Saccharomyces cerevisiae S288C: one gene and its partners. The gene in region 2 interacts genetically with the main gene of each other region. Each region holds a gene or a part of one and is shown on either strand. Other genes may lie near its edges. The genes, in order: CHS5, TPM1 and YPT31.

Region 1 (3,600 bases), on a different chromosome or scaffold from region 2:
ATAAAAAATAGATTATATTTGCTGAGGGATTCTCAGTCGAAAAAATAAACGTGCGTCGTGGAACTCATTGAAGGCATCCATTAATCATTTCTTTTTCCCTTTCTTCTTATTCTTCTTATTCTTCTTCTTATTACTGTTGCTGTTGCCAGTATTTTTTTTAGCTTCTTTAGTGGACAAAACGTCATCTGTATTTACTTCGGCTTCCGTTGTCTCTTGTTCTTCCGTGACGGCACTGCTTTCAAGAGAAGCAGAGGCCTCAGTTTTTTGGTGGGTAGTACTCTCACCAGAGGCAGCCTCCTTGGAAACGTTGTTGATATCGTCTTCTGCCTCTGAACCTTTTTCTTCTGGTTTTACATCTTCATTGGATGGCTCGACTGCAACACTTTCGGTAGCATCTTTAGGTTCGGCTTCAAGTTCTATATCTTCTTCTTGATGTCTTGGAGAGGCAATGTCGGTAGTAAACTCGTTGGTTTCTTGTACGGGTTCACCGGCATCCTCCACAGGTTCACTGGTATCTTCCACAGGTTCATTGGCATCCTCCACAGGTTTGTTGGAATCCTCCACAGGTTTGTTGGAATCCTCCACAGGTTTGTTGGAATCCTCCACAGGTTTGTTGGAATCCTTCACAGGTTTGTTGGAATCCTCCACAGGTTCATTGGAATCCTCCGCAGGTTCATTGGCATCTTCTATAGACTCATTTACTTCTGGAGTTTCAATTTCAGCTTCTGGACGTCCAAATTCCATTGCTGCATCATCTGCAGGTTCGTTATTTTCCCCTGCACTTTCTGTGGTTATGTTGTTTTCAGCTACTTCTTCAGTCTGTACAAATCCATTATCAGCTTGTTCGTTAGAATGTGTATCGGTATCCTCACTTTTCTGTCCCGTTGCTTCTTCATTTGGAGAACTTTCAGCCACAGCTTCATTCGGTTCTTCTACCACGGCTTCTGCGGAAGAGTCCGCTTTGTTTTCCTCTATATTGGGAGTACCAACAGGTTCGCTTTTCAAACTTCTTACGGAGGGGTTGACGGTTTCGATGGTGGTTTCATTCTCCAAAGCCGTCGAAGCATGCAATGGATCTTCTACAGGACTTACTGGGGCAGTTTCATGTCCACTCTTTTCTCCTTGTTCCTTAGCTTCTGAAGGATTACTCTCATTGTCATTAGGTGATGCAACCTGTTCGACATCTGTTGTGTCCTCGGGCATCTTATTTTCATCCGCTACTTCGGCTACCGGCTCATTCTCCTTTGAGTACGAAAGTTCTTCCTCATTAACTGGTGGGAATGTGTAGTTTTTCAGTATACTTTGATCTGCATCTAAGTAAAATCCTCTAACACCAACGATTCTTTTCTCAACCTCACAAGCTCTCACCCATTCCGGTCTGACAATTGGTATGTTGTTATGTTTTGCCCTTATAAGCTCTTCATTGCTTTCTTCATTGTCTAGATCGTTACAGACAAAATGCGTAGTATCTATCGCAACATGACGTTGTAAAGGTCTCGCCCCGATGTGAGACAAACATTGGGATATCTGTAAGTCTGAAATTTCTTTCAATGGATCCAATGGACCCAAACATACAGTGATACCAGACATGTCAGTCATCTTATGTGTACGCAATATAACCTTTTCAGACCATAATGTTCCTGACGTGGTTATCAGTTTCAATTGAAATTCGTATGGCGTATCAACGGAAAGACCGGATATTTTCGTGGTAGTCACTTTGAATGGATTTGGAATTACCATTGAACGTATTCCCTTCCTATAAAGGATCAGTGATTTCAATTTTGCTGAGCCAAGTTTCAATGGATCCCATGCTAGAACACAGCTCGTTTGCGTAACGTTAACAATTTTCAAAACTGGGCTCTCCGGTTTATGGGTACCATACTTCTCCAAAATTTTGGCTTGTATACTCTTAAAATGATTCCTTTGTTTTTTTTCCTCCTCTAAATTTTGTGAAACTTGCATTTTTATGATAGATCCAGCTTTAACATTTTCTGGTAATAATACTGTAGGAAACTCAATAACATGATGATCCTGAGTAGTCAGTAACGCCAATGAGGCATCCAACTTACCTACTGTTAACAGTACATCAACTGAAGACATTATTCGCTACTCGACCAGGTTCTAAAACGGAAACGTAACATGCAAGCTAAACCGCGATAACATTTAGCATCTACGCAATAAATAATGAGGCTTTAGAAAGGAGAACTTGAAGGGCCGACCGAACTTGTTAAAAAAGAAGTGCAGCTACATAATTTCCGTCTTAAGTGACATCTTTTTAGTGGTCGACTCGAGGCTACTGGAAGCAATAAGATAAGGATATGGCAATAGCTTATAAACGGTATCATATGAACATAAAGCGCATTGCATAACTATTGTTAACTAAAATTTTAATTGCCCAAAAGTATTTGATTAAATTATATTTTATGCATGCTACTTATTGTACGTTACAGCCGGTAAGGAAAAAATTTGAAAATTCTGAATTGGAGGACCTCTTCTTCGACACAGAATTTGATACGCGGTTGTTGAAGATTTGTCTTGGGCAATCATGTTAAGCATTATTGGAAGAAGTACTGAATTGCTCGTTAGGGCGTAGGATATCGGAGCGAGCGAACTTTGTTGCCACTTCAATCGGAGCCTTGAAATCATGGAGAAGACCATCGGGTATTCAAATTCCAATTGAGACACTATTAAAGAGGAAAAATATTCATTAAAATGAGGAATAACCTGGCTTATTTCGACATAGTTTCCCTCTTTAGAAAAAAAATTGACAGTTGTTGATAACTCGGAAAGGTAATAGATTTCAGGATATCCTTTGGCATGCGTATGAAGCTCTCTGGGTTTGCTTATGAACGTACTTATCTGAGCATCCGTTAAAATTGTACATTTTAAACTGAGAATGACGTGGTTTTCTATGGTGCTTACATCTTGAACTTGATAAAACAGTTGTTCCTCCCAAAAGCGAATACTTGAACCTACAATCTCGCGCAATTTTGTAAACAACTCTTGCTCTTCCGTAACTAATCGATCGTTCATTTTAAAATTCAGTTTAATCTTCACTTTTCCTGGTACGAGTGACAAAGCTACCAGTTATTATAGTTAGTAACGCTTCATTCACGGATGGGTTTTAATTTTGCTAGGAGAAACATACTTTCAACATTCCAGGTGGTAGCAGTGGAATATATAATGAATTAGAGTCGGTTGATTCCGGTCCCTCAATGCGTACGGTTGAAGTCCAAGCAGATAACAATTTTCCTGCCTCATCATTATTTACAGCGCCACAACTTTCTAAAAATACGGTCAAAAATGTGATATCTCTTGCCATTAGATTAAATTTTGAAATGTTGGAATCCAATGGTGAACTAACGTGCTGTTGCGCTTATTTCTTACTGTTTGTTTTCCTTCCATTTTTTATATTTGGTATAACCGCTGAAGGTTATAGAAATTAGCTCTTTAAGAGAAAAAGGCGAAAAAATTAGTGTAAAAGTGAATTATACTACAGAAAAAAAAACTATACTAAAACACAGATAGGTAAGTCATATGTCACATTTCTACTCGCTTGTACCCTCCAATTAATTCCTGTAGGGGAAAATTGGAAATTGT
Region 2 (3,340 bases):
GATGTAAGTTAACGGCGGTAAAAGGGATATGTCCCTGCATAAGGCCATCAGCATATGCTGCTTGGCAGTTAAATGATTCAAAGACAGCGTTTTCATAGAACTGTACGTCTTTTTAAAGGTCGCTCGCTCATGCTTGGCATACTTGTCCTCATGAGGGCCCATACCAGTACTTAGTATCCACGTCATCTGGTTTTTTAAAACCCTGAAGAATCAAATAAGATTATTTGACCAAAGGAAGGGAAGGGAAGAGAAAAAAAACTTAAAGAAAAAAGAAATGAGAAACCCTGGTGTGTTCACGTAGATGCACAGACGGTGGGCAACCCAAAACTTAGTCTTCCGATAAACTTTTCAGGTTCTTGTACACGTGGAAACGCCCGATATATATCACATGTAGCTGTGTAATATGAGAATGCCTTTGTCCATGTGATAAACCGTGCAAAACTTAACATGGGAGCAGGCACAAGTGTGAGTCCCACGAACAAAACGCCGCTCGGGTAATAACGCCCAATGTAAAAACATCATAAATCAGCACGCAAACGGTAAAGAACAAAAACATCTTCAAGGGAAAAGTATACAGATGTATAGTCTAAGCTATTGTATTTGTATAAATGGTTCTTATTTTAGTTTCGTTTGCCCATGAGCGTTTGATTTGCTCAAGAACAAGGAACAAAGACCAGCGTGTTGGGGAAAAGAAAAAGAAAACAAAAAACAAAAGTAGATCACAAGTTTTCCAGAGATGCAGCAATTTCGTCCAGTTCCTTCTTTGCGTCTTCGTACTTGACGGTCAATTCCTCGTTCTTTCTTTCCCATTCTTCTCTTTGTTCTTCCAAGGCAGCTACTCTTCTTTCCAATTGATCTGCCTTCAAGTCGGACTCTCTCAATTTCTCAGTGGTTTCCTTTAGCTTGGTGTCGCTTTCCTCCAAGTCTTCTTCCAATTGCTGGTTCTTCTTGGAGAAATTGTCGTTGTTGGACTGCAAGTGGTGAGAGTCCTCGGACAATTGCTTGGATTCAGCCAATTCTGCTTCCAACTTCTCGATCTCTTCCTCCAATTGGTGGTTCTTCACCGTCAAGGACTTGATCTGATTTTCTTTTTCAACGTTATCCTGTTCTGTTTGCTTAGAGTCAGAAAGTCCCGCTTCCAGCTTCTCGATCTCATCCTCCAATTGCTGGTTTTTGACGGTTAAAGACTTGATCTGATTCTCCTTTTCGACGTTCTCTTGCTCCAAGTCCTTGTTCTTCTCTTTCAACTCCTCGTACTTCTCCTGCCATGATTCGGCTTCCAACTTCAAGTTGCTTAGCTTTTCTCTGATTTTGTCCATTGTTGCCTTTTTTGTGTGTATGGGGTGTGAGTTCTACTATGTAGATTTCTTCTACCAACCTAATCTTTTACAGTATCAGAAGGGAAAAACGAACCTTCTTCTTGCCAAGTATGCAGTATGTGATCTCTAACACTTTTCCGTTTCTCGTAGATCGTGCTATGGTGTGCTGATTTTTTATTTTAATGGTTACCCGACTTCTTTACCCGGCTCTCCGTCGGGTAAGATATATGTGCTAGCGCCACGCGATGGCTGGTTTGTCTTTTTAAGTTCTTAATATTTATTTTTATATTTTGATTTTTTTTTTTTTTTTTTTTTTCCATTAGTGAATGACAGCAATGTATTAAGCTGCTGCCGCGCATACAAAATGTACTGCGTTAAATTAGATTAGCTTAAATTAGTGCTTGGTAAAGGAGGAGTGGTTTCAAGTCCGGTGTGCGCCCCACTTTATTCGGGTATCTTCTACGTTTTTACATCCATGTTTCAGGTACTGTTGAAAATAGTTAAGATCGTTCGTATTTCTTAATTCATGTATTTTTCCCTGTTCCTAACTCGCAAACATCAGTTTTCTTGCAGATACGTCTTGAAATACAACCATACAGACAATGGAGACATACGAGACTAGCATTGGGACTCAGTCTTATCCCCCGACTTTGTTCCCACCTCCCCTGGGTACCGGTGGGTTTACCACTTCAGGTTATATACATGCGCTTGTGGATTCTACATCGAACTCGAACTCGAACTCGAACACAAATTCGAACACAAATTCGAACACAAATTCAAATTCAGATACCAAGATTCCTATAGTGCAAATATCGGATGACTCTCATATAACACACGACAGCTTCAAACCATATATGGAGTACCACGATGCTTCGCACTTGAGGAACCGTAACATAAGCAAAGCGGACCAGGTTGAAAGCACTGAAGTGATGGAACAGTTTACGCAATGGTCGAATTATAAGATGAGGTCTCGCTCTCCTACCATAAACGCAAAGCCAATTCGACACACTTCACAACGAAGAACAGACTTTACCAGCAAAAATGAACTCTCCAAGTTCAGCAAGAATCATAATTTCATTTTTCACAAAGGGTTTTTGAAGAGGCAACACTCCATACGCAGGGAAGACAGGCAAGCAAAGGTACGGTCAAGATTCAGGAGCAAGAAGGAGCTGACATCCGTTTTGAACTATATAGAACTGGAACAAATGGATATTGCAAATGTCCTGGCTTCGCAACCGGTAAACTTACACGCTATCAGAAATCTCACTAGCAGGGACCCTGCGGTAACTCCTATCCCATTTTTAAGAAGCCAGATGTATGCAACCAGTAGTCGTCCACCGTATCTAAGGAACCGCTCCATAAGTAGGAAACTACCCAAATCACAACCAGGTAGTCTCCCGACGACTATGCCTGCGACGGCGACGAAAACAATTAAACAGAATTCAACGACCCCAACCACAAGATCTGTTTATAACAAGAATGTGGGGCGGTCCAATACTTCCCCTAGTGTGTTGTACCACCCAAAAAGAAGAGGAAAATTGAACACCAAATCGCATGCAAGAAAGGAGCAACTGCTGTTGGAACTGTGGAGAGAATACTTAATGCTGGTTATAACACAGAGGACGCAACTGCGCCTGACTTTGCTTTGCTCTCCGGGTTCAGCATCGAATGAAAGCTCTGTCTGCTCTTCTAACGCCAGCGACTTAGACATGTCCCTTTTATCTACTCCTTCAAGTCTCTTCCAGATGGCAGGTGAGACCAAAAGCAATCCTATAATTATACCCGACAGTCAAGACGATAGTATACTTAGTAGCGACCCCTTTTAAGTAGGTAACCCCCCCTGGATTGCATAGCCATTGCATAGCCTTAGACATCAAACTTTATTTAATCACATTATCCTTCTATGTATCTTTTTCCCCCGCTCGATTTCTTCTAGAACATTACGGAAAATAAAGGAAAAAAATGACTGGAGCATCGAATCTGTAGACTAAAAAGGTAATGACGCGTTCTTCGTTCCCACA
Region 3 (3,281 bases), on a different chromosome or scaffold from region 2:
AAGAGGAGACTAAGGCTAAAAATGGTTTGACGAAGAGCGAAAATAATGGTACTGTTGAAGATTCTGAATCTGATATGGACGATGCCAAGTTAGACGCATTGATGGGAAATGAGGGAGAAGAAGAAGAGGACGATTTGGCAGAAATTGATACCTCTAATATCATCACATCCGGAAGAAGAACACGCGGCAAAGTAATTGACTATAAAAAGACTGCAGAAGAATTAGACAAGAAGGAACCTAGCACAGGCTCTAAAGATGATGTAGGATATGGTGAAAAAGAAGAAGACGATGAAGACGAAGAAGACGATGATTTTAAAGAGTAGTAAGCAAAATGTCGTACATACCGGCCTCTACTTGTGTATTCTGTTTACTTCAATTTCCTATATGCGTTCTATATGTATATAAACTATATGTCAGCAGAAAATTGTAAAAATATAGCACAGAATTAAAGGGGAGAAGAGTCATTCACATGCAAGTGCGCAACTGCTGCAAAATATCTCTTAACAACAGTTATTTCCATTTGCCTTTTTGTTTTCGTTTGGTGTTGGTGTCAGACTAATCGTTGGTCCATTAGGAGCGGACGCACCATTGGCATTCCCGTTGGCACTGGAGTCACCAAGGTCCATTTGATGCTTGCTGACCTTTTGATAGATGGTATTGATTAACTCTTCAAAAGCCTTATCCACGTTTTCACTGTTCAAAGCACTTGTTTCTGTGAATAATAACTGATTTTCCTGTGCAAAAGTCTTGGACTCCTCCGTAGGTACAGCACGTAAATGGGCCAAATCAGACTTGTTACCGATAAGCCCCACTGCGACGTTGTCATCTGCATTTTCTCTTAATTCTGATAACCAATGATTACAATTTTCATATGAGCTTGATTTACTGATATCGTAAACGATCAAGGCACCTACAGCTCCTCTATAATAAGCAGAAGTAATGGCTCTGTAACGTTCCTGGCCCGCAGTATCCCAAATCTGCGCCTTGATCCTCTTGCCATCAATTTCCAAAGTTCTGGTGGCAAACTCAACCCCAATTGTAGACTTTGAATCCATATTGAATTCGTTCTTCGTAAATCTTGACAATAGATTGGATTTCCCTACCCCGGAATCACCGATCAGTACAATTTTAAATAGTAGGTCGTAATCATACCCGTAGTCCTCGCTGCTCATTGTTGAAATCCCCAGACGCCGTCAGAATCCCTTTGCTGGCCTAAACAAAGTGCCTTGTAATAAAGGTCAAATTGTTATTCGTTTCTTTCTTGAAAAGTTTTGAGTTTCCCTCTTTCTCTAATTTAGCACCCGCACACCGCAGCGGCCTGTGATATTCCGCATTGGAAAATGGTAAACAAACAACAAACGAGCCCAAACATAACAACAGTAGAATTGACGCCTAGGAACAACAATACAACATACTTACAGCAAGACTACTACCTAATTAGTGCAATTAGATTGCGCTGGGATAGATCTGAAGCTTTTTTTCCGATTATGAGCCTCCCTGTTACACCTGTCAAGAGCAAAGTGTGCAGTACATTATCGATACAACATGAGATGGACCATGATCAATGCCGTGATGTGTTGTGCCCACGCGAAAACTTACTAGCCATTAATAGAACTAATAATATAGAGAGTGTTGCTATACCGCGACAGAGATCGAGCAAGAACAAGAAACCCCATGAGCATACACAATCGCAGGTTCGATTTTCCATTCCAGATCCAAATGAAATATCACAGGACTCCCCACTGAAAATTGTATTCCCCAAGAGTGGAAATGAAACCGAAAGAAGAATGTCTACTTCATCATTACTTATGAATAGCCATGGTCATTTAGTCGACATGCACTCTAAAATACTGGTCGATGTCCCTAAAGAAGTTTGGAAGTTTCATCATAACAGGAGAAAAAAATGTGAAAGCAGGCACCGTAAAACTCGTTCTGATGTTAGGTCCAACACAAGTAGTAGTGGAAAAGAACCAAACCATTCTAGATCAAAATCATTACAGTCGATCATTGTGGATACAATGAACACATATCGTGCAACCGAGGTTGAGACCAGTATTAATGAGAATACTAGTAATATTAGCCAAGTATCTCCGCTGAATTTATCATTTGACAGGCCTCCTCCCTTAACTCCCGAAAAGAATTTATATCTCACTCCTGAATCGCCATTGAACAGATATCATTTACCAGTTCCATTAGAAATATCTCTGCCGCCCTACTTATCTCCGCAAAACAAGGATAAAAAGAGGAGTAGCTTGGTTTACGATGGGGATGGCTATAGCCAGTTTCAAGAAGGTAACACCTCATCGTCAACTGAATCTTCTCTAGAACAGCCCTCATCGTCGTATTCAGATGAAGATGATTCTATTCCATATGCCCACCATGATGTGTCTTTCGAGTTAAATAATGCAGATGCTGATAAGCTTCTTGGAATTGATGAGAACGCCAACGTCAATCTGAAGATACAAAGGAGAAATCTCAAAAACCCACAACATATTAAGAGTAAAACAGATAGGGAATGTGAGGAAAAAAACACTGAAAAAAATGTTTCGTTAAAAATTCTGTCAACACCAAATAAACTGATAGACATCCCCGACTTAGAGCACATGAAATCCCCACCAAGCACAGGTTTAAATGGGACATTAAAATTTTTCCAGCAGTTTGAACCTAGCGAGGAGCCAACTTCTCCAACTCGCCAAGTTAACCCTGAATCACTGGACAAACTCGATATGTCATTCAAATTTCCCTCCAGTACTACTAACAATAATGTGGATAAGGTACATGAAAATAGAAACTCTGGAGACACGAACAATGAAGATTTCCTGAAAGTTGATACTTCGCCTGTGAATCAATCATTTGAATCCAGAAGACAGATGTTAATAGACTTGCAAAAATCTCCGACGAATAATAATCCGAGGATACATAAACATAGGAGAAGCAGGAGCGTTCATAATATTGATGACATTTCCTTAAATTTCGAGGCAACCTCCACACCACCAGCTCCGACCTCTGCTCCCTCAATTCCTGTTGAACATTCTAACCCATGTACTTCCATTGAAATACCTAAGAGATCACCCTTACGGTTCACGTCATCTCCAAAAACATCTGATATTCCTCCTGAAGCTCAATCACCTAAAAATGGGTCCTTCCTCCAAGAAATCTCGGTACCTTCGATTCAAATTATACCAGATGAAAGTATCTCTCATACAAGAGAACCATCACCATCACTTATTGAATGCCCAGAGGATGAAAACGAAGCTTTTTCTACTGAAGTTGCTGACCAT

What was found.
Region 1: mutations in TPM1 (region 2) and CHS5 together harm fitness more than expected from each alone (negative genetic interaction), as found in Saccharomyces cerevisiae (5 studies listed by BioGRID, with this or other methods).
Region 3: mutations in TPM1 (region 2) and YPT31 together harm fitness more than expected from each alone (negative genetic interaction), as found in Saccharomyces cerevisiae (5 studies listed by BioGRID).

The regions. Positions count from the first base shown.
Region 1 is NC_001144.5:786,164-789,763, reverse strand, and holds CHS5 (Chs5p), read right to left. Parts: upstream 2,101-3,600; coding exon 85-2,100; downstream 1-84. Other genes in the region: REC102 (Rec102p), read right to left, coding at 2,431-3,051, 3,149-3,322. UniProt on the Saccharomyces cerevisiae protein: Component of the CHS5/6 complex which mediates export of specific cargo proteins, including chitin synthase CHS3. Also involved in targeting FUS1 to sites of polarized growth.
Region 2 is NC_001146.8:477,847-481,186, forward strand, and holds TPM1 (tropomyosin TPM1), read right to left. Parts: upstream 1,320-3,340; coding exon 720-1,319; downstream 1-719. Other genes in the region: EOS1 (Eos1p), read right to left, coding at 1-186; NIS1 (Nis1p), read left to right, coding at 1,922-3,145.
Region 3 is NC_001137.3:213,576-216,856, forward strand, and holds YPT31 (Rab family GTPase YPT31), read right to left. Parts: upstream 1,173-3,281; coding exon 501-1,172; downstream 1-500. Other genes in the region: CHZ1 (Chz1p), read left to right, coding at 1-323; FIR1 (Fir1p), read left to right, coding at 1,488-3,281.